Linked DNA regions of Ovis aries. The protein of the gene in region 2 interacts with the protein of the main gene of each other region in a biochemical or structural test. Links are inferred from orthologs where the notes say so. Each region holds a gene or a part of one and is shown on either strand. Other genes may lie near its edges.

Evidence for each region.
Region 1: the proteins of MC4R (region 2) and POMC form a complex in vitro, tested with the Homo sapiens proteins (2 studies listed by BioGRID). The link is inferred for Ovis aries from reciprocal best matches to the Homo sapiens genes MC4R and POMC.

Annotation. Positions count from the first base shown.
Region 1 is NC_056056.1:32,602,624-32,615,330, forward strand, and holds the start of POMC (pro-opiomelanocortin), read right to left. Parts: upstream 6,712-12,707; 5' UTR 6,604-6,711; intron 3,018-6,603; 5' UTR 2,968-3,017; coding exon 2,836-2,967; intron 421-2,835; coding exon 1-420.
Region 2 is NC_056076.1:59,473,816-59,486,524, forward strand, and holds MC4R (melanocortin receptor 4), read right to left. Parts: upstream 7,531-12,709; 5' UTR 7,144-7,530; coding exon 6,145-7,143; 3' UTR 3,662-6,144; downstream 1-3,661.

The DNA.
Region 1 (12,707 bases), on a different chromosome or scaffold from region 2:
GCCGCGCGCCTGCTCGAGCCTCTCCCCGGTCAGCTCCCTCTTGAATTCGAGGGGAAAGGCCTGGGCCGACTCGTCCTCGGCGCCGTTGGGGTACACCTTCACCGGGCGCCGCTTCTTGCCCACCGGCTTGCCCCAGCGGAAGTGTTCCATGGAGTAAGAACGCTTGTCCTCTCGCGGACCCGTCTCGGCGCCATCGCCGCGGGGCCCGGGGCCTTCGCCCACCGCCACTTCCTCCTCGCGCTTCTGGGCCGCGCCCCCAGCTCCGAAGCTGCTGCTACCATTCCGACGGCCGAAGCGGTCCCAGCGGAAATGGCCCATGACGTACTTCCGGGGGTTCTCAGTCAGCGGCTGCTCATCGCCGTTGCCGGGGAACACCGGCGTCTCGGCCGAGAGGTCGGGCTTGCAGGCCCGGATGCACGCCTACGGGAGAGCGGCGAGCGCGTCAGGCCCCACCCATTCCAGGCGTTCCCCCGCCGCTCACGCTAGCCGCCTGCGCCCCCCACTCCCTCCGCACGTGCGGGGTCGCCCACTGGGCGCTTGGGAGCTTGGGCCTACTGGGCTAACTGCAGAGCATATCTACCACTCCCACCTCTGAGCTTCCTCAGACGTCTGAGACTCAGCTCGGACAGCGCCTTTTTTGTCCCCTGGGCTCCTGGTACCCCTGCCCGGCAGCTACAACAAAATCCCCGTCCCACTTTCTGGTGTACTTGCATTGTAGCTTTGTGGGTAGTCTATTCAGTAGTCGTGGCTCATGGGCTTAGTCGCTTGTCCGCATGTGGGATCTTCCCAGACCAGGGATGGAGCCCCTCTTCCCTGCATTGGCAGGTGGATTCTTAACCACTGAACCACCAGGGAAGTCCCCATCTCTGCTTTAGAGTGACATGGCTCAGACGGTAAAGCGTCTGCCAACGCGGGAGACCCGGGCCCGACCCCTGGGTCGGGCAGATCCCCTGGAGAAGGAAATGGCAACCCACTCCAGTACTCTTGCCTGGAAAATCCCATGGACGGAGGAGCCTGGTAGGCTACAGTTCATGGGGTCGCAAAGAGTCGGACACGACTGAGCAACTTCACTTTGTGGGTAGGGTAAACGTCCTAAACTTTATAAGCCAGATATATAGGAATTCATCAATAAATGGCAGGTGGGTGGGAGTTGTTGGCACTTAATGAATATTGAGGAAATAAATATGGTTCAGTTTGAGTCTGGGAAGGGCATTGGGTTGAAATTTGGGAGAAATCTGGCTTCCAGGGTCTGTAGTTTCAATGTGTCAGCCGTACCCCAGTGGTCTGTAAACATACCTCATGCCCTCCCCTAGCCATCTCCCTCCAAACTTGCCCACACCCATCTGGCACTTTCTCTGGTTCTTTCAGGTCTTCCAAGCTGATCCTGTCTTTTCCTCAATCAGTGAGCTTAGGGAGGGGGCGACTCACTTCCCTGTGCCTTTCTAACTGGATGGAAGGATAGGAAGTCAGGATTATTTCCATCGCAGGGGTCATGGAGTCCTGTACGTGGAGCCCTGTCTGCTTTCTGTGACTAGACAATTGTGGCACACATTTGCTTAGGAAAATGATCTTGAGGCTGTAGCCTTGAGTTTTCAGATACTCGGGACAACAAAGGAGGAAAAAGAAGGATCCCACCCACTCTGTTGAGCTGGGAACTTCATACTCCAGAAATTTAGAATTATAACACTGCAGAATAGTAACAGTGAGAAACAAATTATCTCATACTTCTCTCCCCTGGACATATAATGATACACAATTTCTCAGAGAGGAGAAGGGAACTTGGTAAGGTTCCACCGCCCATTGACAGAACTGGGACTGGGACTAGAACCCACAGACTCTGACCACCGCCAGTGCTGCTTCCCTGGTGAGCTCTCAACAGGAAAGACTGTGCAGTGGGTGTCTCTAATCAAGAGTGTCTTGGGTCTCTCGGAAACAGAGCTCATGGGATTCCTGGGCTCTTTACTTCTATTTTATATTCTACGTGCAACCTGCTCTGTTTTTGAGAAAGTCTTTCTCCACCTTAACTCAGCTTCTCTGCTGACAAAACACACAGAATGTAGTGGTGTGCATTCCACCCTCGCCAGGCAGGTACAGGCAGTAGGTTGGAACTCAGTCATGGCCACCAGAAGTGTTTCTTGTAGCCTTGAGCTGGTATTGTTCCTCATTTATACTTCCCAATACAAATAAATAATAACAAATACACACGCAAGCTATGGTGACCTACAGGGAGTTCCAGCCTGGCACAAAGGGCTTTGAGATGCTATGGAAAGGCTGCAGAAGGTCAGTCCTCGAGAAGCAGGAGGCATTTGGCACCAGTTAGTGGAAAATGGCACCTGAGTTTTTCCTTCTAGAGCTGGTTTGTGGTATTATCTTCCTGACTTTGTAACTGGTAGCAGATATAAGGAAAGAAAAATGGAATGGAAATGGAAGGTGATATGAGGTCATCTAAAAAGGAATAATTTGAAGGCTAAAAGATTGAAAGAATAGGTAGGGTCAGTCGAGGGAGCAATTATGGTTATTACTATCATTAGTGTTGTTTATTTTAATAGCACTATCTCTAAATAGTTTAAAAAGAGTGGCTCTCTATACAAGAAGACAGGGCAGGAAGTAAAGAAAATCGAGAAGACATTATGGACCAGACCCATCTCCCTGAAGTTGCTTCCTCCCTTCCTTGGCCCAATTCTTACTTCGCCCTAGAGGTCTATTCCTGCCCTTGATTGAGTTAGCCATATCTCTGGAAATGAATCTCCCCTTTTGCATGCTCCTTTCTTTGTGCTGTCCCCACCCCAGTACCATTTGATACCCAAATCAAGATGGCGGCCACAGCCCACGTACCAGCAGGTTACTTTCCGTGGTGAGGTCCTGACACTGGCTGCTCTCCAGGCACCAACCACGCACTTCCATGGAGGCCTGAAGCAGCAAGACCAGCAGCAGGGCGCCCGAACGACTGCTGCACAGTCTCGGCATCTTCCAGGCAGGCTGAGGCTCTGCAGAGGCAAACAAGATGAGTGGGACCCCTGCAAGGAGCAGAACAATGTTGGCCACTCATCAGGAAGGACCATGAGCCAACATTAACAATACTCTCATTTGTGGAGCTCGAGGCTTTTTGAGGACAAGAGCAGCTCAAGGAGCAGGTTGGTGTGCAGGGTGGTCGTGTGAGTTGTAATAAAGAGGGCAGTGGGACCTGGGTAAACTGCACAATTTTCCCTTTATCTTCTATTAAAAATCAGACACCAAAGGATGTTAGGGCTGGAAGCTATTTTGGGGGTCGTTTGGTATGGCCCCTTATTTGAGAGATGAGGAAACTGAGACAGAGTGAGACAAATGACTTGGGTTTTTCACAATGAGGTATGGCCAAGTTCTCTTGTTTCCGTCACTGAGCTTTTCTATTTCCCCATCTTCAGGAAACTAAAGTTCTAACACTCCAGATTCAAGGAGTAACTTGGGAAAGACAAAGGACTGTGAAACTCCTCCTCGAGGTGGTCTACTCCTCTCCACCAGGATTCTATCATTCCTCAGGAACTCCAATTCCTATGACTAGTAGGTTTGCATAATGGCAAATGAAACTGTCCAACCAAGCCAAAACCTCAGCCAACCTAGTTTGATGTCCTGTACATAAGTCACTCAGGGAATCACTATTTCCCAGACCCCTGTGACTTTGGAGATTTATTTTTAAAGTAGATCCCCATTTGAAACAAGTTCATCTCCTGAGTGCAATATACATCAGACTTCCTCTTGTTCTCTGAGTCTCTCAAATGTAGTCTGAAATAGCTGGACCTGAAGATGCTGTTGGTGTGGAAAGGAAGGACATGATCACACAGAGCAGAAGGGAACTACATCACATCATGAACTCCTGCCAAAGACACTTTCTTAGAGAAATCAGGAAGCACCACTGGGCAGATGCTTAATTAAAGAGATCCAGATGCAGTAAAAGGGAGAATCAATGCTGCCTTTTGCCCACTGTGCCCAACATTTTCCCCATCCCTTTAGCTTTCATACTGCCCTGCCACCCCTCACAGAGGTCTCCCCTCCAAAATGACCCTAAGCTCTGTTACCATGCACTCCACAGTCATTCTAGATTTTAGATCTTTTCAACCCAGCCATTATGGAAGAAATCTAATAAGAAATTTATATTAAGGTGTAGATGACTAATTGTCTCTTCTGATTTAAAAATATTTGCCCAAAGGAATCTCCTATCTGTGAAGGCATGAGCCAAATCTTTTTTATAGAGACAGCTTTGGAAGTGAAATTTCCCCTGCCTCTCATTGTCTGCTTCAGGAAGCCACTTCCTTCTCTCTGGCCCACCCCACTCCTTTTCCCAAAAGCTGAGCCGAAAGGGCTCCCTTCTGAATGGTTGCCAAGCGCAGCCCGAGTGTTTTCAGAGCAGCCATTAGATGGTGCTGGTAGCCAGTGAGCTGGCCTATCTGCATCACAGGGTAACTAGGAGAACATTGGTCAACCTGGTGTCCAGTTGTGACCGAGGACAGGATGCTCCTGTTGTAGACTTTTGGTGCTCCAGTTCAAGTACAAAGCCTGAATTTGATGGACAAGGTAAATTGTGTTAAATCTCTGAGACCACACAGCACATTTTGGTCAGAAAAAAATGCCCAAGTTTAAAAGAGAAGCAGAAAAGTGGTAGTTTTATGTTACTATGTTGTTGTTATTGTTTAGCCACTAAGTTGTGTCCAACTCTTTTGCAAACTCATGGACTGTAGCCCCTCAGGCTCCTCTGTCTATAGAATTCTCCAGGAAAGAATAACTAGAGTGGGTTGCCATGCCCTCCTCCAGGGAATCTTACCAATCCAGGGATCCAACCCAAGGCTCCTGCATCTCCTGCATTGGCAATTGGGTTTGTTTTTTTTTTTTAAACCACTAGTGCCACGTAGGAAGGCCTTATATACTATGGACAAGTGTAAAATAGCATCTTAGTAGAGAAGAAAGTAAAGTCATACAGATCTGACAATCCCCTCAACTATATTTCAATTCTTCTCAAAGTTGGCCAGTCTGAGATGACTTCCATTTTCTAAAAACCTACCTCATGATATCAGACCTTCCTGAAAAGTCTCAGACAGTGTTTCCTCTCTTGCCCCATGGGCTATATAATACAACATGATAACATCCTCACTCACCACGTCTCAGAGCTGCAATCTCCTGCTAAAAAACTAGGTAGCTTCCTGAAAGCAACTTATCTTCTTTCTGCTCATGTATATTTTGTATTTTTCTACAATAAACAAATATTACATTGCATGTTTTTAAAGCAATAAAATAATAGGTAGATGTCAAATGTGCTTTTTGTAAGGAGTGTTGAATAATTGAAAGCTTGGAAAAATGAATATAAACTTGTAATTTGCTAATCTTGACATTAACTTTATAATAGAACTACACTAATTAGGAATTCATATGTGTTGGTGAATTCTCTATGAGCTAAAGAAAACATATTTTGTTTTATTTAATTTCATTTTTAATATTCTTTTCCATTATGGTTTATCGGATGATACTGAGGACCTTGTTGTTTAATCCACCCTATATATAATAGTTTGCCTCTGCTAATCCCACACTCCCAGTCCTTCTGTCCCCCACCCCCCTCTAAAATTGGCCCTCTAATATTGCACACTGGCCATGCCAGTCTGTAAGAGATTAGAGGAACAGAGATGCAGAGTTTTGTCCTGATACCATGATACACACCCATCAAGTCCTAAAACAATGTCAAAGGAGTATTACATCATTAAATAAGCCGTGATCTGTAGATCTCAACACAAACAAGTGCTTCTTCCAGCACTTCTGTGAGAACCACCAGCTCCCCATTTATACAGGAAGAATTTGGGGGATCCAAATGCTCTGCAGACTCTCCCTCCCTCACTGGGAACCCACCTTGCCTGAGCCTGCATCTTGCCTGAGCTTCCACCGCCTCCTACGGCTGCTGCTGCTGCCCTGCTCTCTAAGGTCTGCGGGATTGGAGGTCCGTTCTGCGGTCCTATTGAGAGCAGAGACGGGGTGGTTCAGGACCGTGGACAGTTCCCATCGGGGCCACCTCTTTTTAACACCAGCAGCTCATATAGAGCAGACGGTGTCATTCTCTAAGCGCAGCCACGTCGGGGGCGCTAAGGTGGGCAGGGAAACGAAGTTTCAGAAGTCTGAATTCAAAGAAGTCTGAACGCAGGGAGTTTGTTGTCACTTTTAGCCTCTTCTCTTTTGCCCCCGTTTCCAACATCAATTTACGCTAGGGTATACCGTATCTTTTAAGAAGTGACACCTACCCGGCAAATCAGAAGTCCCAAAAGACTGGGTCTCCTGGAATCTCCCCAGAATACGGATAGGACTCCTCAGGAGTTCCTCTGCCCAGGACAGACGCGGCCGCCAGCTGCTGAAAGGCACCACTTTCAGCGTCGCTGCGGCTCTCCGGCCGTCCAGAGAGGCCGGTCCTCGCCGCTCCGCTACCAGCGGCTTCCCACGCCGCGCTCAGCACAGAAAGTTTTCAAAGAATTCAGGACGGCGCCGAGACAAAAGATGCCTCTGAGATCGGAGCTGGGCGACAGCATCCCGAGGCCCCCGGAGCAGGGGATCCGGGGATAAGATTGAAGTTCCCCGCCGCTGCGCCCTTACCTGTCACGGGGAAGCTGCCTCGGGCGGCTCCCGCTGCGCCGGGGCGAGGATGTTCAGCGGCCTCTCGGTCACTTTTCTTCCTTTCGTTCTCCTCCGTTGCGCCGTCTTGTCCCACTCGCTCTCCGCGGTCTTTATATACTTGCGGGGCCCGCCCGGGTGGGCGCTAGACGTTGAGTGGACTTCCCGGCAGCTGTAACGTAACAGGCAACTCCCCCGTCCATAGGAAGGGGCGGGGGCGTGGGGGCGCGGGAGGGGGTTTCCAGGTAGCGGCTGAGCTGGAGAGCAGACGTGCCTGGAAAGGGGTCTGGATCTCTGTCCCCCGGAGGCTGGAATTAACACTCTCTTGCTGAAGGGCACACCTGGCAGCCGTCAGGAAAGAACTTAATTAAGGATGGTTTTGGGTCTCCAGTTTCGGTGAGCGGGAGGCTTAGCACCCCGGTATGGGGCTGGCCTGGCCGGCCGGCTGAGATCATTAACGAGAGGGCGAAGTTACCTGTGTGCCTGCTTGGGCTGGCATCTGCCTTTTTCTCATTTGGAGGTAAATATCACCACCCAGGGAGTGCGTCTGTGATGCCTCTGATTTTCCCCAACGTTTGGAAACTGTGATGAGAAAATGTCAGGAGTCCTTACAATCCCTCTGTTACAAATTGGAGGGCCCTACTGTCAAGCCAAGGAGGAAAGAATGGCACTCAAAACTGCAATGGAGGAGTCTCTACCTTAACCTGGAGTAAAGAAGCAAAAGCAAATTGTGGGAAGCAGTGGGGGTGAACAGGAGTGCTGGAACTAAACTGGACTTCAAAAAGGTTCTTGCTTAATGTGTCATTTGCAAGAAATTTCTTTATTCCCAGATGCTCTTTTGGACTTCAGGACACCCTTGAGAATTTCTGGTTGGCAACACTGGCTTTATACTCAGCAATCCTTTTCTTTGGAGTCAGGAGAGATTCACGCTCCTTAATAGTTAAATAAGGTATTATTACCTGGCCTTGGCTTCTTTCCAGGGCATCTCTTCCCTCTCTATCTTGTTTCCTGGCACTTTGACCATTCACAGCATTCACATTCCCATAAACACTATTTTCTCAAGGCCTCACCTCTTTGTCTATGCTATTCCTTCCTAAAACACCCTTTCTCCTTCCAACCACCTGGGAAAATTAGACTCTTGCATTAAGATTTAGCTTATCCATCATCACCAGTTCCCTGAAGATCTCCTTGGTCAATTGTCCTTCCAAGACATGAAACATGATCATCTCTTTTCCAGAGAAGCCCACACTCATCTTATCTGTATATGTAGCTTGCACAGCTGGAACAAATTCACTCTGTTTTCCATCTTTCCTCTTCCAGCCACTCCTGCCCCACCCCTGCCACTGCCAGGCTTATGAGCCCTCTCAATCAGAGATCCTCATTTTTCTCTGTACTATTTTTATAACTTTAAGAGGCAGCTGATGGTAGCAAAAGAGCCAGACTGGGAAAAGTTCAGATTGACCCAGCTTCTGTCCTGCTCTGTCAGTTGGGTTCTTAGTTAGGTGCAGCAGAACCAACTTTAGGGGATGTAAACTCACAGACTATTGAATCACATTTAGAATCACTGGGAAAGCTGGGCAACCAGGATCCAAAACTGGGCAGAGAAAAAGGGTGTCTGGAATCATGGCCACTGGTCGGATCCAATGAGAAAGACAAACAGACCACTTCTGGGAACAAGAGGCCACAAAGTCAGGCATTGGACACAGATGACACTTCTAAGTCCAGATTGGGCGCTTGCCATTCCCATTTTGACTGATGTCACAGAAAGGATGTCACCGCCCTTGCTTCGTTGTATCACTAGCTTCTCTTTGAAAGCCTAGAGCAGGTGCTTCTGATTGTCTGAGATGATAATATGATTTATCCCTCTCTTCCCCGATAATGTGGTAAATTACATTGTTGATTTTTAGTGTTGCACCTACCATGCATTCCTATTCTATGAGCCCAATTTGATTATGATGTGCTACCATTATGTAGCATTGGGTTCAGTTTATTAATATTTTATCTAATATTTTTGCATCTATGTTTATGAGCTCAACCTATAATTTTCCTTTCTTGTAAGATTCCTGTTAGGTTTTGGTGTCAAAATTTTGCTGTCTTTCTAAAACAAGTTGGAAATCCCTCCACTGACTCCCATTTTTTCTAATTTAATAGAAGAGTTTGTATACAATGGTGTTTATCTCTTCCTTAAATGTTATCTGAAACATTTGTTTTGGATCTAGGTCTTTAAGGTTGCTTGTTTGTTGAGTGGCTTTAAACTACAGATTCAATTACTTAAATAACACTATTCCAATTGTCTATTTCTCTTTGTGTAAGTTTAGTACTTCTAGGTATTTGTCCATTTCACTTAAATTTTTAAAATATTTTGGCTTGAAATTTTTATTATATCTTCTTATTATCATCTTAGGATCTATGGAATCTCTATGGTCCTCTTTTATCTCTGATACTGATAATTTATTAATAGATCCTCTCTCTTTTTTATTTATTTTATTAGGGGCTTACAATTTTATTAGTATTTTTAAAGAATGAATTTCAATGGTGATGATATTCTGTTACATTTACTTTTTTATTTTTAAAATTTCCACTTTTATTATAATTTCTTATCTTCTAATTTCTAATTAACTACTCTTTCTATTCTCTTGAGTTGGATATTATAAATAAATGCTTTTACTTAGATAATTGATACTCAACTTTTATTCTTTTTGACCTGTGTATTTATGGCTATAAATTTCTAAGTATAGCTCCAGTTGCATCTCACAAGTTTTGATATATCATATTTTTATTACCATTTGGTTTAAAATATTTTGTTTTCATTGAAATATCTTAATTGACCTGTAGGTTATTGAGAAGTGCTCTGTTTAACTTTCAAACACTGGGGGTTTTTTAGATCTGTTTTGAAACTACATTTTAGCATAATTCCTCTGTGGTCAAAGAACATACTTTGCTTCTAGTCCCTTGAAATCGGGGGAACTGCTTAATGGATGAACATATGGCCCATTTTGATTAATGCTTTATGTAAACTTCAAAAGAATATGTATTATATGATTTCTCAAATATTCTATATCCTTTCTATACCTATATTCTTTCTGATTATTTATCATCTTAATTAGTTACTAATATATATATGTTTTTTAAGTCTCCCCATTAATCTTGTGAATTTAACTACTTCTACTTTTGATCCTGGCTTTAAAAAAAGACTCTTTCTAGAAATCTAATATAGAACGTAGGATAAAGATGGCAGAGAGTTACTAGGACATGGTTGCATGCTGATGGGAATAATAGAGTCGAGAAGGGAAAACTGATGCTGCAGATGAGAGTCAGAAAAACCAAATGATCCAAGTCTTAAGTAGAGTGAGGTTCAGACGAAGAACCTGGCTTCCCAGCAGTGGAATGCTTTCCTCTTCCAAAAAAGGAGGAGATATAGACACAGGAGACTTGTAAGAAAAGCCATGGGAAGATGAGCGATTCTGTACCAAAGTCTTTACCTTTTAACCCAAAATTTCCTGAGGAAATATCTTACAGTTATCCTTTAAATGCTGTCTAAGACTATTCACACAATATTGTTCATAGTAGCAATGAAATACACTAAACATCTAGGGTGTAATTATAAAAACAGTAGAGTATACTTATAAAAATTATGGTAAAGCTATGCAATGGAGTATTTTGCAGTTACTCAAAATAAAGTAGATGTTTAGACATAAAAAATAACCACTGTATGTTGAGGGGAGGAAACATGATAAAACATGAATATACAGTTGACCCTTGTGCTGCACGGGTCCGCTTATACTCCTATTTTTTTAAGTAAATATGTGCGACTGTCCTACGTGATCGTGGTTAGACAATGGCGGTGGGACTGCAGATAGGGGAAGCTGACTGTGGAACGCAAACATCTGTGGATTTTGGTATCTAAGGGGGTTCTGAAACCAATTGTCCACAGAAATGGAGGGAATGACTATAAATAGAGAGAAATAGAAATAGAGAAAAAGTGAAAAGATACCAGAGTGTTAATAATATTTGTTCTGGCTATTTAATACTATATCATAACCTACCCTCAAAACTTGATGGTTTTTTTGTTTGTTTGTTTGTTTTTGCTGAGACCCAATTTTATTTATTTGGTTTTAACATTTTGGCCACATGGCATGTGGGACCTTCCCTAACCAGGGACTGAACCCACATGCCCTGCATTGGAAGTGCAGAGTCTTAATCACTGAACCTCCAAGGAAGTCCAATGTGATGGCTTTAAACAACATTTATTTCGCTCACAAATCTGCAGTATGGCCAAGGTTTGGCAGGGCCTACACATCCCTGCTCTACTTGGCATCAGCTTGGGCAGCTCAAAGCCTGGCTTCTACAAGTCATCTGAAGCCACTCACTCATGTAGCTGGTTCCTGACTGGGAAGACTCAGCTGGGGGCAAGGAGAGCTGGGGATCCTCAGACATATCTATCTCCATGCAGTCTAGCCATGTGACCTCTTCAGCATGCCTTAGGGGAGCTAGACTGCTTCCACAGAGCCTCAGGCCTCCCAAACATGCATCAGGAAGTGACTTGCTCTGCTGGCTAGAGGGAGTCAGCAAGGGCTTCCCCAAGAAAGGGATGCTGAGGTGGGTTGAGTCTTGATACCGGGATGAAGAGAGGAAAGTCATTCCAGGCAGAAGGAACAGCATGTGCAAAGGCCTCAAGGCAGGAAAAGCCTTATGGTCACAGAATGCTGGTACAGGTGGTAGAGGGAGAGAGGGAAAAGACTGGAAACGGTCAGAGGCCAGAGGCGAGGAGCTGGGGACCATTCAGCGATTGGGTCAAAGGAGCCGCAGGACCAGCTTTCTGTGGCAGTGAGGAGGATGATCAGAGGAGTGGGAGCCTGGAGCCAGCAAGGGGTGATTCAGAGTCCAGTGCTCTGCTCCAGGGCCTGGGGACCAGTCCAGCCAGCAGTGGGAAAAGTGGGGCAGGAGAACAGACAGAGGCAGCTTCATGAAATACTTAAGAGGTGGCATCAGTGTCAGGGAAGAAGTCACGGACACTCTCCCCATCTGAGGTCATGTGGATGACACAATGTGGTGTCAGGGTTAAGAACACAGCTCTGGGGAGCTGAACCCAGCTGATCAACATGATCACAGATGTGTAGTTCGCCATCTTCGCCAACATGCTGGGCGTGTCGCTCTTCTTGCTTGTCGCTCTCTATCACCACGTGGCCGTCAACAATCCCAAGAAGCAGGAATGAGAGTGGCGCTTTCTCTGCCCCCAGGGTTCCAGGACATAGTCTGAGGCAAGATGGAGGGTGCGAGGGTCCTTCACACTTCACTTCATCCCTTCAACCCATCACAACATACAAAGCAACTCCACCTGGATTTTTCCAAACAACTTTTATTTCCTGAAAGTCTTCCTTAACCTTATGGAACAAGAAGCTGCCACTGAATAGGGCCCAGTATAGGGGCTACTTTCTTTTCTACTCCCCCATCCAATATAAAAATATAGATTTTTGTGTGTGTGTATGGTGCCAAAAAAGAAAAAAAAAAAGTGCACAACTCTGAAGCCAGAACAGCTGGTCCTAATTCTGCTCACCCACTGCCTAGCTGTGGGTGACTTGGAGCAAATTCCCAGCTTCTCTGTATTAGGTGTCCTATCTGCAAAAAGAGAAATGACTGCTCCCGCCCATGTGGCTGTCATGTGGCTGAAAAGAGGTGATACAAGTAAAAATGGTAGAGCAGGGCCTGGCGTTAGTTAGCCCTTATCCCTGTTATCATGGAAGTGCTGGTGACAAGAGAAACTGCCTGGGTGGAAGGAAGGAGGGAGGAGGCGGGAGGGAGGGAGAGAGGGGAAGAGGGAAGGAAGAAGGGAAGGAGCAAAAGATGGAAGGAGACCGGAGCCGACATGAGTCTTTGGCGGGGAGCAGATGTGTTGTTCGGAGGGCTTGCGGTGAGGATTCCTGGGGCAGGGTGATGCGTCTACACCTGGCTGTGGGCATAGGGCCAGGGCTCCTCTCGTCACCCCAGCTTCTCACCTCTGAGGGTTTAATTGGAAAAGAGATGTCACCAGGGTGTGAGTGCGTAACAGAGACAGGTGTGGAGGCAGCCTCCGCGGGGAGAGGAAG
Region 2 (12,709 bases):
TGATATTCTTGCCTGCACAATTCCATGGACAGAAGAGCCTGGTGGGCTCTAGTCCATGGGGGTGGCAAACGAGTCAGACGTGACTTAGTGACTAAACAACAACGGCAGCGTAGCTGGTAGGTACAAATCATGACCGGAGCATAATTTTCGATATACGTAAACAAAAATCACAAACAGAATTACTCTCAAGCCTTCTTGCTTTCTTCCTGGTAGAATGAAATCCCCAGGGTGCTATGAGATTCATAGAAAACCCACATGTGTTGTTTTTTAATGGGGTCATTTTGAAACTTCAACATTACAAATAAAATATATTTTAAATTGAGGAGTTAAACTTTTCACAGATAAAATTTTAGGCTAAGTGTTTTCTTTTCCCTCAAGTGGAATTATGACCAAATTTATTGTTTTATTTTCCCTTTTAAATTTCATTCAATGTTGGTTTAAATTTAAAAGTGAAATTTGTAACTCCGTTTAGAATGTTAGGTTTAGAAATCAGATCATAACAGTGTCATTAGCAGCTGAGCCCCATATAAAACCTCACTGAATAGTTCACTGATTGAGTTGCTGAAATCTTCCATTTGGCTCTATTTGAGGGGCTTCCAGGTGTCTCTTGTCAGTGAAAACACAGTTAATAACAGTACATTCTGATTACTAACTTCATTAACCCAGGACCCAATTCAACCATGACGATCACAGATCAAAGCTCTTCTCTTTTTCTCCTCCCTGAAGTGGCAGCATTCAATTGTGCTAGAAATCCTTTATGTGAATTATACAAATATAGTTTTATATGTTCCCTCTCAGTAGGCACATCACAAAGTAAATGCATTGTATTCATTTAATTTTCTTAAAATATTGAAAATTTAGAAAATATTATGTGTCATTTATTTCTAAGTTTGAAGCATGTGGGGAACCCTTATAAAGTATACATTAAACCATTATTCAACATAAGAATTAGAATAGTACTGAAGCCATCGAAAAATCATGCGTCTTTCTGCCCAAATTCACCCACTAGCTGCCTTGAATTATTTTAGAGTGTTCAAAATTTCTTTATACCTAAAATAATAAACATAGAGATGTATTTTTATTTGCTTCACTTGAGAAATAAATGAATGAAATGGTGAAAGCAGATTTGAATGGATTGTTGCCTCTCCATGCTGGGGCAACGAGGCTAGCCAAGTGAATATCATAATTTCGTTTCTAGGGTTTAAGCTCCGATAACCTTTTAAGCGCAGTTTGAGTAACAGATGCCTATAGTGACAAGCTCTTTAGTACCAGATCATTTCAATAGATTATGTACTTGTCGTTAACTATGAGATGGGGCTTCCCAGGGGACGCTAGTGGTAAAGAACCCCCCTGCCAGTACAGGAGACGTGAGAGATGGCAGAGACACAGGTTTGATCCCTGGGTCTCTGGATTCCCTGGAGGAGGGCATGGCAGCCCACTCCAGTATTCTCTCTTGGAGAATCCCATGGACAGAGGAGCCTGGCAGGCTACAGTCCATAGGGTCGCAAAGAGTTGGAAACGACTGAAGTGTCTTAGCACCCACACATATGATGAGACGATGGGTATTATCTTCATTTCACTGTTTGGACTATAGATGCTCAGGAAACTTGCTCAAAGTTCTGGAGCTGGTAAATGAAATTTGAACCCAGTGTTCCCCTAGTCCAGATGCTGTGTGCTCGTTTTATATGCAAGCATACGCTTGGATCAATGCATGATAAACTGATAACTGAGCGTCAAGATGTGACTATACTTAAAAAAAAGATGTGACTATAACTTAATCACTTATGATTCTTTTTAAAGGGTTTACATTTAATATCAACAATATCAGTTTAGATAATGTTATTCTACTAACACAGATTGATGGCATAAAGTTTAACCAATTAATCTTTGAAGAAATGGGCTGATTGGTTATTTCATGCTTAGAATATTATCTTTCTATTTAGCCTTTTCCAGTATTGAATGTGGCCCTGCAAATTTTAAAACAATTAGTACTACTAAGGATAAAAAATTAGCTTTTAAAAATACAGGTATGCCTGTGTATTCTCTATGTTTAAATATGCCCATTTATACCCCCCCCAAATTCTGTCAAATTCAAGAAAACTATAAAATTTAAAATAAATTAAAAAAGATTATTTGGCTGCATTGGGTCTTAGTTTCAGCATGTGGGATCCAGTTCCCTGACTAGGAATCGAACCTGGGCTCCCTGCATTAGGTGCCTGGAATTTAACCCCTGTACCACCAGGGGAGTTCCTCAAAGATAGTTTACGAAAACATATGATTAAGCCCAAGGCATATGTGTATTTTCTAATAATGCTGAGAGAGAGCAAAACCGACAGGTCTTCATTCATCCATGAATTTGTTCGTATACTTGGTATTCCTAAAAGTACTAATAATCACTGTTTTTGAGTGCCTATATTTATTGGGCACTGTTGTGTTGAGCTTTAATCTTTGATCTGATAATTGTCTTTTCTCCTTTGAAAAGACAGGTATTATTTTGCACATTAACAATGAGAAAGCTAACCCAACACAATCTCACAGCTAAAAAGTGATGTAACCATAATTCAGCCATAGGTTATGTGATTGAGGAAACTGTACTGTCTACAAAAGGAGGCTCGTACAATTTGATGCAGGAAAATCCAGAGTCGGGAACTGGCTCTTAAGTTTTGATGCTGCCAGTGATTTCACAGGCGAGGTCAGACAGTCTCTCTGGGTCTTAGAGGGTTAGGTGAGATGGTATCTAATATCTGTTCTGGCTCAAAACTAACTTCTCTTCTATCTACTCTCGCTCCACAAATCACTGGTAATTTGGCGATTACACTGTCATCAGCACCTTTTTGTTGGAATGCTTATGTGTACTTCTAAAAAACTAATAATCAAAATATGTTCATTGTAGCAAATTTACACAATAGAAACACCCTCCGTAAAGAAAGTAAACAAGCTCCTTCATATTATTGCCCAAGAATAATGACTACTGATTGCTCATGAGTTATTGGAAGTAATATACAGGAGGTATGTATGTATATTGGTGGAACTTTAGATAGTTGGTATCATAGTAAATATTCTTTTTTGTGTATTCCTCGGAGGAGCCTGGTAGGCTGCAGTCCATGGGGTCGCCAAGAGTCAGACATGACTGAGCGACTTCCCTTTCCCTTGTAACACAAAACAGAAGTCGGTACTTATTTACATGTTATTAAATAATTTTTCAGAAATGTTTTAGTAATTTCAAAATATTTAGTTTGGGCCAGAAAGAGTTTTTTTTCTGAAGTAGGTAATGACTATTCGTAGCCCAGAGTCATGGTTGGTACCTGCCAGGTGAACAAAAGTGCAAGATAAAAACCTTGTTCATGCAAGTTACGGCAATTGTTATTTGACTTTTTAAATCAATGTCTTGAAAATCACTTCTATCACTAATGAAAAATTATTTCTAATAGGATTTATACTTCATTGAATTTTCTGGTGAAAATTTCAATAAAGGTATCTGACGCTGCTCACTATTTACATTTGGAGTATATACTCCTGACCAGCATTGGTAAATGCTAAGTAACCCCCCTTAGCAAAATATTAAAGGATCAACACATATATCACAGTATTTATACTGAAGCTTTTTAAAGGTTCATTCCTGCTCCTTGGTGTAAAATAAAGACTTATGTCCACACACAAGTGTTTGTAGCAGCTTTATTCACAGTTGCCAAAATCTGGAAGCAACCAAGATGTTCTTCAGTAGGCAAACAGATAAACTATATGACAGTCATACAACTAAGTACTATTCAATACCAAAAAGAAATCAGCTACCAAACCATAAACATATCTGAAGCACTCTTAAATGCATATTATCCAGTGAAAGAAGCCAGTCTGAAGGTTATATAGTGTATGGTCACAACTATAGGACATTCTGGAAAAGGCAAAACTATTGCAACAGTAAAAAGGTCACAGGTAGCCAGCAGGTAGGAGGAAAAGAGGGGGGAACAGGTGGAACACAGAGGATTCTTCAGGCAGTGAAACAATTGCCACTGACATTGTCTGCCAAAGCACATGGAATATACAACACTTGAGAATGAACCCTAATGTAATCTATGGACTTTGAGTGATAATGATGTATCCCTTTGGGAGAATCTTGGTTTTACTGGAGAAAGAAGAAGAAACGTCACAGAGGAATGTTTGGAGAACAGGAAAAAATGAGAAAGGCATGGTCTTAGCACTTAAAGAAACAGAAGCCTGATACTGGGCCCTGGGCGTGTAGGGGAGGGGGGCTGGGCACACGGCTCTTGACTAAGACTCCCCCCATCCCTGTAAACTGCTCCAGGAGGAAGTGCTGGAGGCAAGATACAGGAGGCTGATTTCCTGTCAGTGGCAGAAGTGGGCTGGTCCTCAGTGGACCGGGCAGCGTCTGAAATGACCCCTGCTGGAGAAGCAGAGGGGACTGGAAGGACAGCCCCCGCAGAAGGTGGGGTGCCTCTAGCTCTCCCCCATGTCTCCAGTTTCCGGGGTTGCTCGCAATCACGTGAAAGAATGGACAGGAAGAGTAGCAAAGACAGAAACACCTACCGTGTCCTGCCACAACGTGGGGTCTCTTTAAATATAATTTAAAGCCTCGCACATTTCTATGTCAAAATAGAGGCATGGCAGTGAATCAGGCTTCAGTATCAGCTTTCATGTGTAAGCTTTAATCTTACTGTTACATTTTAAAGTAGTGTTTCCTCATCAGTACTGACAGTGCTTCTCAGGACTTGCTGTCAATATGCAAAACATTTAGAAATTTGAATTAAGCAGTACCTTGTCATGTTTTCTCTTCTCATGAGCATCTGAGGAGACTCTAAAGTAAATCAAAAGATAATTCACTGGTACATTTCTCAAAATACATGCAAATTGGAAAGTACAGATTTTATTGTTCAGTAGACAAATCTGTGGCATTATTTTGGAGCAAAGCAAGTATTTCTCTCTAAAATATAGTTGTGGAAGGCTAGTTTATGTCATGATGTCCTCTGGGGTTCAGGTCAGGTTTTTTTCCGTATTTATAACATTCTAGCACCAAGAGTTCCCTTCTTTTAGATTTTTACAAATATTGCCTAAAATCCTTATGCTATAGATTTAGTCTTCAAAGCTAAAATCCTTGCTAATGAGTACGTAAAGTCCAGTTCAAAAAATAAGTAATAGGGAAATAGTAAGTCACTTGCATGTGGAAAGTGAAAGAACTCAGCATGAATTGTGTAGTTCTTTAGGGAGCAGAAGCCGGATCTCAGTGGGGCATCACCTGTTCTAGACATTTCAGCAGGCTCTGGGGCCCTGGTTAAAGGGGCAGGAAGACCTTGTTCTCTGTCTTTATTAGGGACAGTTGTACACAGTTTGATATCAGGAAGCTTAGCTTGCCTTGTTAATTTAGATTTCCCAGAACACTTGGATCCTCATAGCTGCTATTTTTTTTTTAATCCCAAACTGAATTGCCTGTGAGAAATATCAGTCTCTTTGCTTGAGCAAATTAATCTCTCTGTCTCTGAGAAACACACAGAGTTTTCTGACTCAAAATATCCCCCCTCCTTTTTTTTTTTTTTTTGTTTTAAAGTCACCGTTTTTGTCCCAGTAGAAGTTTCATTTCAACTTCGGCACAGGAAGAATGAATGAGCAAGTCTTATTAAATTACCTGAAATTTCAGCTTGGTTTTTTTTTTTATGATTAAGCAATATGTTCTCAATATTTCTCCCCTAAATACTAGAATCAAATTTTATACTCCAGTGTTGTAAAGTATAACATTAAATCCACTCATGAGAATATACTTAAGGAAGCTGTGATTTCCATGTTACAAAAACAAGCAAACTGTCACACCCTTGTAAATCACAAGAAGGAAACACTGTTAAACTCCTCATAAGGACTTTGTTTCTTTTTCTTTTTATAAATCCATAGTGCCTATAACCTGTGATGAGGATTCACATTTTACAGCCAGAAAGTAGCATGATATTAAAAATACAGCAAGACTGGGCACTGCTTCACATCAGAAAAAAATCACAAACTTCAACTGATACAAGAGAATTTTTCACTCCATGCCCTACACAGAAGAAAAAGCTGTGGCTCATACAGACTGTTCAGATTGTACACATGAGAAGGAGAAGGTCTCTTAAGCTTGTGTTTGGCACCGCAGTTTGTCCCCATTTAATATCTGCTAGACAAATCACAGAGGCCACCTAGAGGAGAGCAGCAAATGATCTCTTTGAAGGTTTTCCTCAGTTCCTGGCTCCGCAGGGCGTAGATCAGAGGGTCGATGACAGAATTACACATGATCAGGATGAGATACAGGTTAAAGTGAGACATGAAGCACACGCAGTAGGGGTTCTGGGGGCAGGAGATGTAGAATATCAGGTGCAGGAAGAAGGGGGCCCAGCAGACAACAAAGACCCCGATCAGGATGGTCAGCGTGATCGCCCCCTTCATGTTGGCGCCCTGGCGGATGGCGCCGGTGCCTGGCAGGACCGCGATCCTCTTAATGTGGAGCCTGGCCATGAGGAACATGTGGACGTAGAGAGACGCCATGAGAGCCAGCATGGTGAAGAACACGGTGATGAGGCAGATGATGACAGCGCTGCTGTCTGAGTAAATGATGAACAAGACGCCCGACACCGTGCAGGCCGCCCAGATGGCACTGATGGTGATCGCCACCCGCCGCACCGTCATGATGCTATGGTACTGGAGCGCATAGAAGATGGTGAAGTACCTGTCCACCGCGATCGACAGCAAGCTGCAGATGGAGGCGAGCAAGGAGCTGCAGATCACCGAGTCGATGACGTTGTCAATATTCACCGTGAAGCTCTGCGCGTCCGTGTCTGTGCTGTTCAGCAGGGTGATGACAATGGTTTCGGACCCGTTGGAAACGCTCACCAACATGTCAGCCACAGCCAGGCTGCAGATGAAAAAGTACATGGGTGAGTGCAGATTCTTATTCTTGGCGATGGCCACAATCACCAGAATATTCTCCAACAAGCTGATGACCCCCAGAGTCACAAACACCTCGGGAGAGACAAAGAGCTGCTCATAGCACCCCCCGTCCGAGTAGCCTTTTGCCGGGGACTCACTGACATTGGTGGGCAGCCCGTGGCCGCTGCGGTTCCAGGAGTGGAGAGAGGTGTGCATTCCATGGGGCTGGGTGGAGTTCATCTTGGATTCAGGTCCCCTCTGGACTGACTGAACCTCCCGGGTCCGGCAGCCTCAGCGCCTTTCTCCAGTCTTGACTTGCCCCAAACGAAAGTTAGGTGGCCGACAGTGGCATGCCTGCTGTGAATAAACGTCCCGAGCTCCGGAGCTGGAGAGGAAGTTTTCAGTCTCTTTCAGGTGCGGCTCTGGTCGGCATCACTTGGAAATCCTAGGCTGCAAGATACTCCTTCTCCGTCGAGCCTGCCGCTGGCTTTTTTGTTCTCCCTTCCACTTCAACTTGAGTCGGAGGCATGCAGGTCTTTGCAGAATGATTTGCCTGGTGGCTGCGCTACGGCTGGGAGCCGGCTCTGTGTGCGCATGCTCTCATCAGCTGCCTCGCAGAGGTGCCGGTTCCGAACCTGAAGCTTTGCTTTGAGTGCCAGAAGCTGCTGCTGATTTTTATGGTGTGTGAAGGGAAAAAAAAAAAAAAATGCTCAGAGTGACTCCTCCTCTGCTTCCTTCTGACCAATCCGAGTCCAGTGGGGTCTGTGAGACACCCGCGATGGTCCAGAGACACAAACTGCAGGCAACCCCAATTCAGAGGCAGAAGCCTGTGGAGTCAGGCAGCCAGCAGGATGTGAGAGGCTAAATTTCCCCTGCAAGTTCTCAAGGAAAGCAACTTGGTTCCCAGAGGACATCTGAGATCACAACAAGCCTTCCTGAGGCACCCAGATTTATCCTGCTTAAAGGAGGGGTGTGTGTGTGTTCCTGAGTTAGATGCACTGCCTTTCCCCACCCCCCCACAGGGAACGCTCCCTAATGCTCTATGGTAACCAAAATGGGAAGGAAATACGAAAAAGAGGGGGTATATGTATACATGTCTGATTTGCTTTGCTGCACAGCAAAAAAAAAAAAAAAAGAAAAGAAACACCAAAAAAACCCAACATTGTTAAAAAAAAAAAAAAACAAAAAAAAACCTGACTCCAATAAAAATGAAAAAAGAGAAGAGATACACTGCTTTTTTGACCAGGACATTGAATTTATTTACCTTCTCAATTTATCTGAATTGAGAAGAAAGGCAGTCACGCTTCAGTTTGAGACAGCTGACACACAGAATGTTTAATAATGCAGGAGACTATGCTGTGGGTGCAAGGACTAGACAGGCAGTCACAGTTTATACCAGGGCTCAGAAGGAGTTAATTTCTTATGCACTAAGATCAGCTATTTCTCCATTGCAGAATTTCTTTGTATCATAGCTGGAAAAGTTTTGTTTTCATTTATGACATTTAAAAACCATATAGTATTAATGTAAACAATGATTACTTTGAACTCAGAAAGAAAAAGATCAATAGCTAGGCAACACTCAGGTTTTTAAAGCATTATTAAGGTGTAATTGAAATACAAAACTTACACATATTTAAGGCATCCATTTTAATGAGTTTGGACTCATTAAAATGAGCATGTATCTCCATGATACATCACAGTCAAGGTACTCAGCATATTCATCACCTCCAAAAATTTCCTTGTACTCTTTTGTGTTTTCTTTTTAGGTGTGTGATAACACGTAATGTGAGCTCTACATAATATATTTTAAAGTGCACAATTTATACTATTAACTATAAGCATTGTGTTATACAGCAGATCTCTAAAACTTCTTCATCCTGCATAACTGAAAGTTTACACCCTTTAGGCAGCAGTTCCTTGGCAGCGGTCTTGGCAATGATTTCTTGTAATTGACAGCCAAATTATAGGTAACAAAACCAAAAAGAGACAAGCGAGATTACATCAAACTGAAAAGTTCCTGAACAGCAAAGGAAATAATCAACAGTGCAAAAAGACGATCTATAAAATGGGAGATATTTGCAAACCATCTATCTGATTTGGGGTTAATACACAAAATATGTAACTGAGTAGCAAAAAAGCTAAATAACCTGATTGAAAAATAGGCAAAGGGCTCGAACAGACATTTCTCCCAAGAAGACCTAGAAATCGCTATCAGATATAAGAAAAGGTGCTCAGCAACACTCATCATAAGGCAAACGCAGAGCAAAACGGCGCTGAAGTATCACCTCACGCCTGTCAGGATGCTGCCGTTGCTGCTGCTAAGTCGCTTCAGTCGTGTCCGACTCTTAGCAACCCCATGGATTGCAGCCCACCAGGCTCCTCTGTCCATGGGGTTTTCCAGGCAAGAGTACTGGAGTGGGGTGCCATTACCTTCTCCACCTGTCAGGATGGCTGTTATCCAAAAAAGAAAAGATAACAAGTGTTGGCTAAGGTGTGGAGAATTTGGAATTCAGGTGTTTTTTGTTTTTTTTTTTTTTTTTGAAAACAATCTATCTACTTCATTGGAGTGTCCCAGGTGGCTCAGTGGTAAAGAATCTGCCTGCCAGTGCAGGAGACACAGGTTCGATCCCTGCGTCAGGAAGATCCCCTGGAGAAGGAAATGGCAACTCACTCCAGTATCCTTGCCTGGGACATCCCGTGGACAGGGGAGCCTGGTGCATGGAGGAGTCCATGGGGTTTCAAAGAGTCAGATGCAGCTAAACAACAAGGACATAACAGGCAAGCACGCACCTGGACAGGACAGGTGGCACGTCTCTTCTGATATTTGCCTTGTCTGCTATGCCATCCCTTTGTTCTCACGGACAATCGATCCTAACTACAAGAGTGATAACAAGAACTCAGCATTATTTTTGGTGTGGAGTTTAGACAATAGCTGTAGGTCCAATCTTGATAAAACAGAGGAAGAGGCAGCCTTTGGCTTTCTCTGTGTCCCACTTTGGGGCTCCCCAAGTGGCTCAGATGGCAAGGAATCTGCCTGCCAAGGCAGGAGACGTGGGTTCGATCCCCGGGTAGGGAAGATCCCCTGGAGGAGGAAATGGCAACTCGCTCCAGTATTCTTGCCTGGGAAAGCACGTGGACAGAGGAGCCTGGTGGGCTCCAACACATGGGGTTGCAAAAGAGTTAGGCGCAACTTATGACTAAACAACAAACCTGCTTCATTAACTGAAGGCTTCTAAATACAACTCACGCATTCCTTGGTAACTTTATTCAAGCCAAGATGAGTGAATGCTAGTTATACATCAGAATTTCTGAATGTTTTGAAAGATTGTGAGGAAGTTACTTTTCAAATTTAAACTCCACGTTATGAAATTTTATATAGTACATTTTCTTGCCATGACTACCTTTGGTTTTATCTCTGTAGAGTTTGTGTCTATTGATAATAAGGGACAATAAAAAAATACTTATTTCAAAGTTGAAGTCTTCAGTTACTTGGGTAAGGGCTTTATCTTCTTTCCCTTTGGTGACAGAGGCAACGGTAAGTATGATTCCTGAGCACTGAGTGAAATTAACATCTTTCATCTATCACTGAGATTGCGTGGGGCCGAATCCTGACTAATGGAATGTGGGTAGAAGTGAGAGTGGTGTTGTCTCTTTTGTAAGATTCTACACGTTTTCCCTCTGATCTCCTCATGGATGACTCTAGAATGTCTTTGAAGCTTCATGTTATAGATGTTAGAACCATATCATGAAGGACCCTGGTCTCTGAATGACTGCACAGAACACAACTCACATCTCCAGCTCCCTCCATGCCCTGGCCCGCCAACTGCACTGAACCTTGATAAAAGCAAGCAATAATTATTACTGTATTAAGCTGCCAAAATATTGGTGTTACCTATCACAGCAGCTAGCATTAATTGCCTTGATTTTGAAACTTATTTTGGGCTTCCCTGGTGGCTCAGACAGTAAAGAATCTGCCTGCAAGGTAGGAGATGCAGGTTCGATTCCCGGATGAGGAAGATCCCCTGGACAAAGGAATGGCAACCCACTCCAGTATTCTTGCCTGGAGAATCCCCATGGACAGAGGAGCCTGGCAGGCTACAGTCCATGAGGTCGCAAAGAGCTGGACACGGTGGAGCGATGAAGCACACACACATGCACCTATTTACAAGCAGCATATCCGAATTACCTGAAAATTCTTTCCTTCTCCCATTTTGGATTTGTGTGAGTGGTGAAATACCTAATAAGCAAGCAATAGGGAAAACATCTCTTGAAACGTTTAAGCATAAATATCCAACTCTATATACACTTCCTGAGTCAGCCCTTGACTTTACGCTCCCTACTTCTCCTGGTGACATGGTTGTTCCATTTCCTAAGGCTGAAAATTCAGAATATCTTTGACTTGTCCATCTTTCTCAAAAATCCCTACATGAAATCACTTGTAAAATACCTTCATTTCTGTCAGTGTGTCTAACTCTTCTTTTTTCTCCTTAAAAAGCTCACTTGTCACTATTCTCCTTCATGGAAACCTCATTGCAGTCAAGAGTCAATGTCATGAGCCTACTCAATTCTCCCTGCTTATAATGCGCTTTGCCCGTATTTGTGACTGCAGAGTCATCATTATGTTGTAAAATTATTAACAGGCATATTATATATATAATTATATAATAGATAAAATTAGTATTGAAGATAAAACTCTGTTTATTTTGGCTTTTCACCAAAAAAAAAAAAAAGATTTAATTTATAGGCATTTTAATCACATTGAAATCCCAGAAAACCATGTACATTTAAAATCTCAAATTGAGTTACTTGATGTAGATTTTATAAAACCTTGATTATATGGTTAATCATGCTGGAAAGATTTTTGTCATCTCAAGGAGGAATTTTAATTGTGTGACAGAGTTTAGTTTTGTAGAAGCCAAAAGAAATACTAGAGCCATTAGTGGTATTTTTGAAAATTTATTGCAGATGTCTTTTTTCTAAGTACACACTAAATTGAGTTAATCATAATATATTTCTCCTCTGAGCATAGTCCTTGTTTTACATTTTGTAACAATAAATATGAAACATTGCTAAAGAGAAGTATTTATCAAACTGTGCTACATAGACCACTATTTTTAGATGTTACTGTTATTCCTACCACAGAAAAAAAAGTCATAGAATTTTGGAAAGAACTAAGAACTCATTGCCTTCTTGAAATTGCAGAGTATACATTAGTATGTAAACTTTCTGAAATTTCTGACTAGAAAAAAATTCAGTGTTGCTTACTCCACTTACTTCCTGAATACAGAAAACTACTATTGTGTGTGTGTGTGTGTGTGCTAAGTTGCTTCAGTCATGTCCGACTCTTTGCCACCCTATGGACCATAGCCTGCCAGGCTCCTCTGTCCATGGGATTCTCCAGGCAAGAATACTGGAGTGGGCTGCCATGCACTCCTCCAAGGGATCGTCCCCACCCAGGGACTGAACCCGCGTCTCTTAAGTCTCTTGCACTGACAGGCAGGTTCTTTACCACTAACGCCACGTGGGAATCCCAAGATACTATGGCAGCAGCCCACAGAAGAGTCTGTGAAGGCCTGAGGTCAGCCAGTACTTGCTTTGCTGCAGGCGAGACTACTAATCAGTCATGAACAGAATGAGGAAGAGAAAGCAATCTTCCATGACCTCCACTTTTGCCTTCAGGGAATGGGTAGATGTTGGTGCCGTTTATCTGGTACACACATGGATTGGCTCTCTCAGTCTCCATTTAAACATCCACCAATTCAGACTTCAGCAAGCTGAAGTCTATGTGGCTCAGATTTCCTTGCAG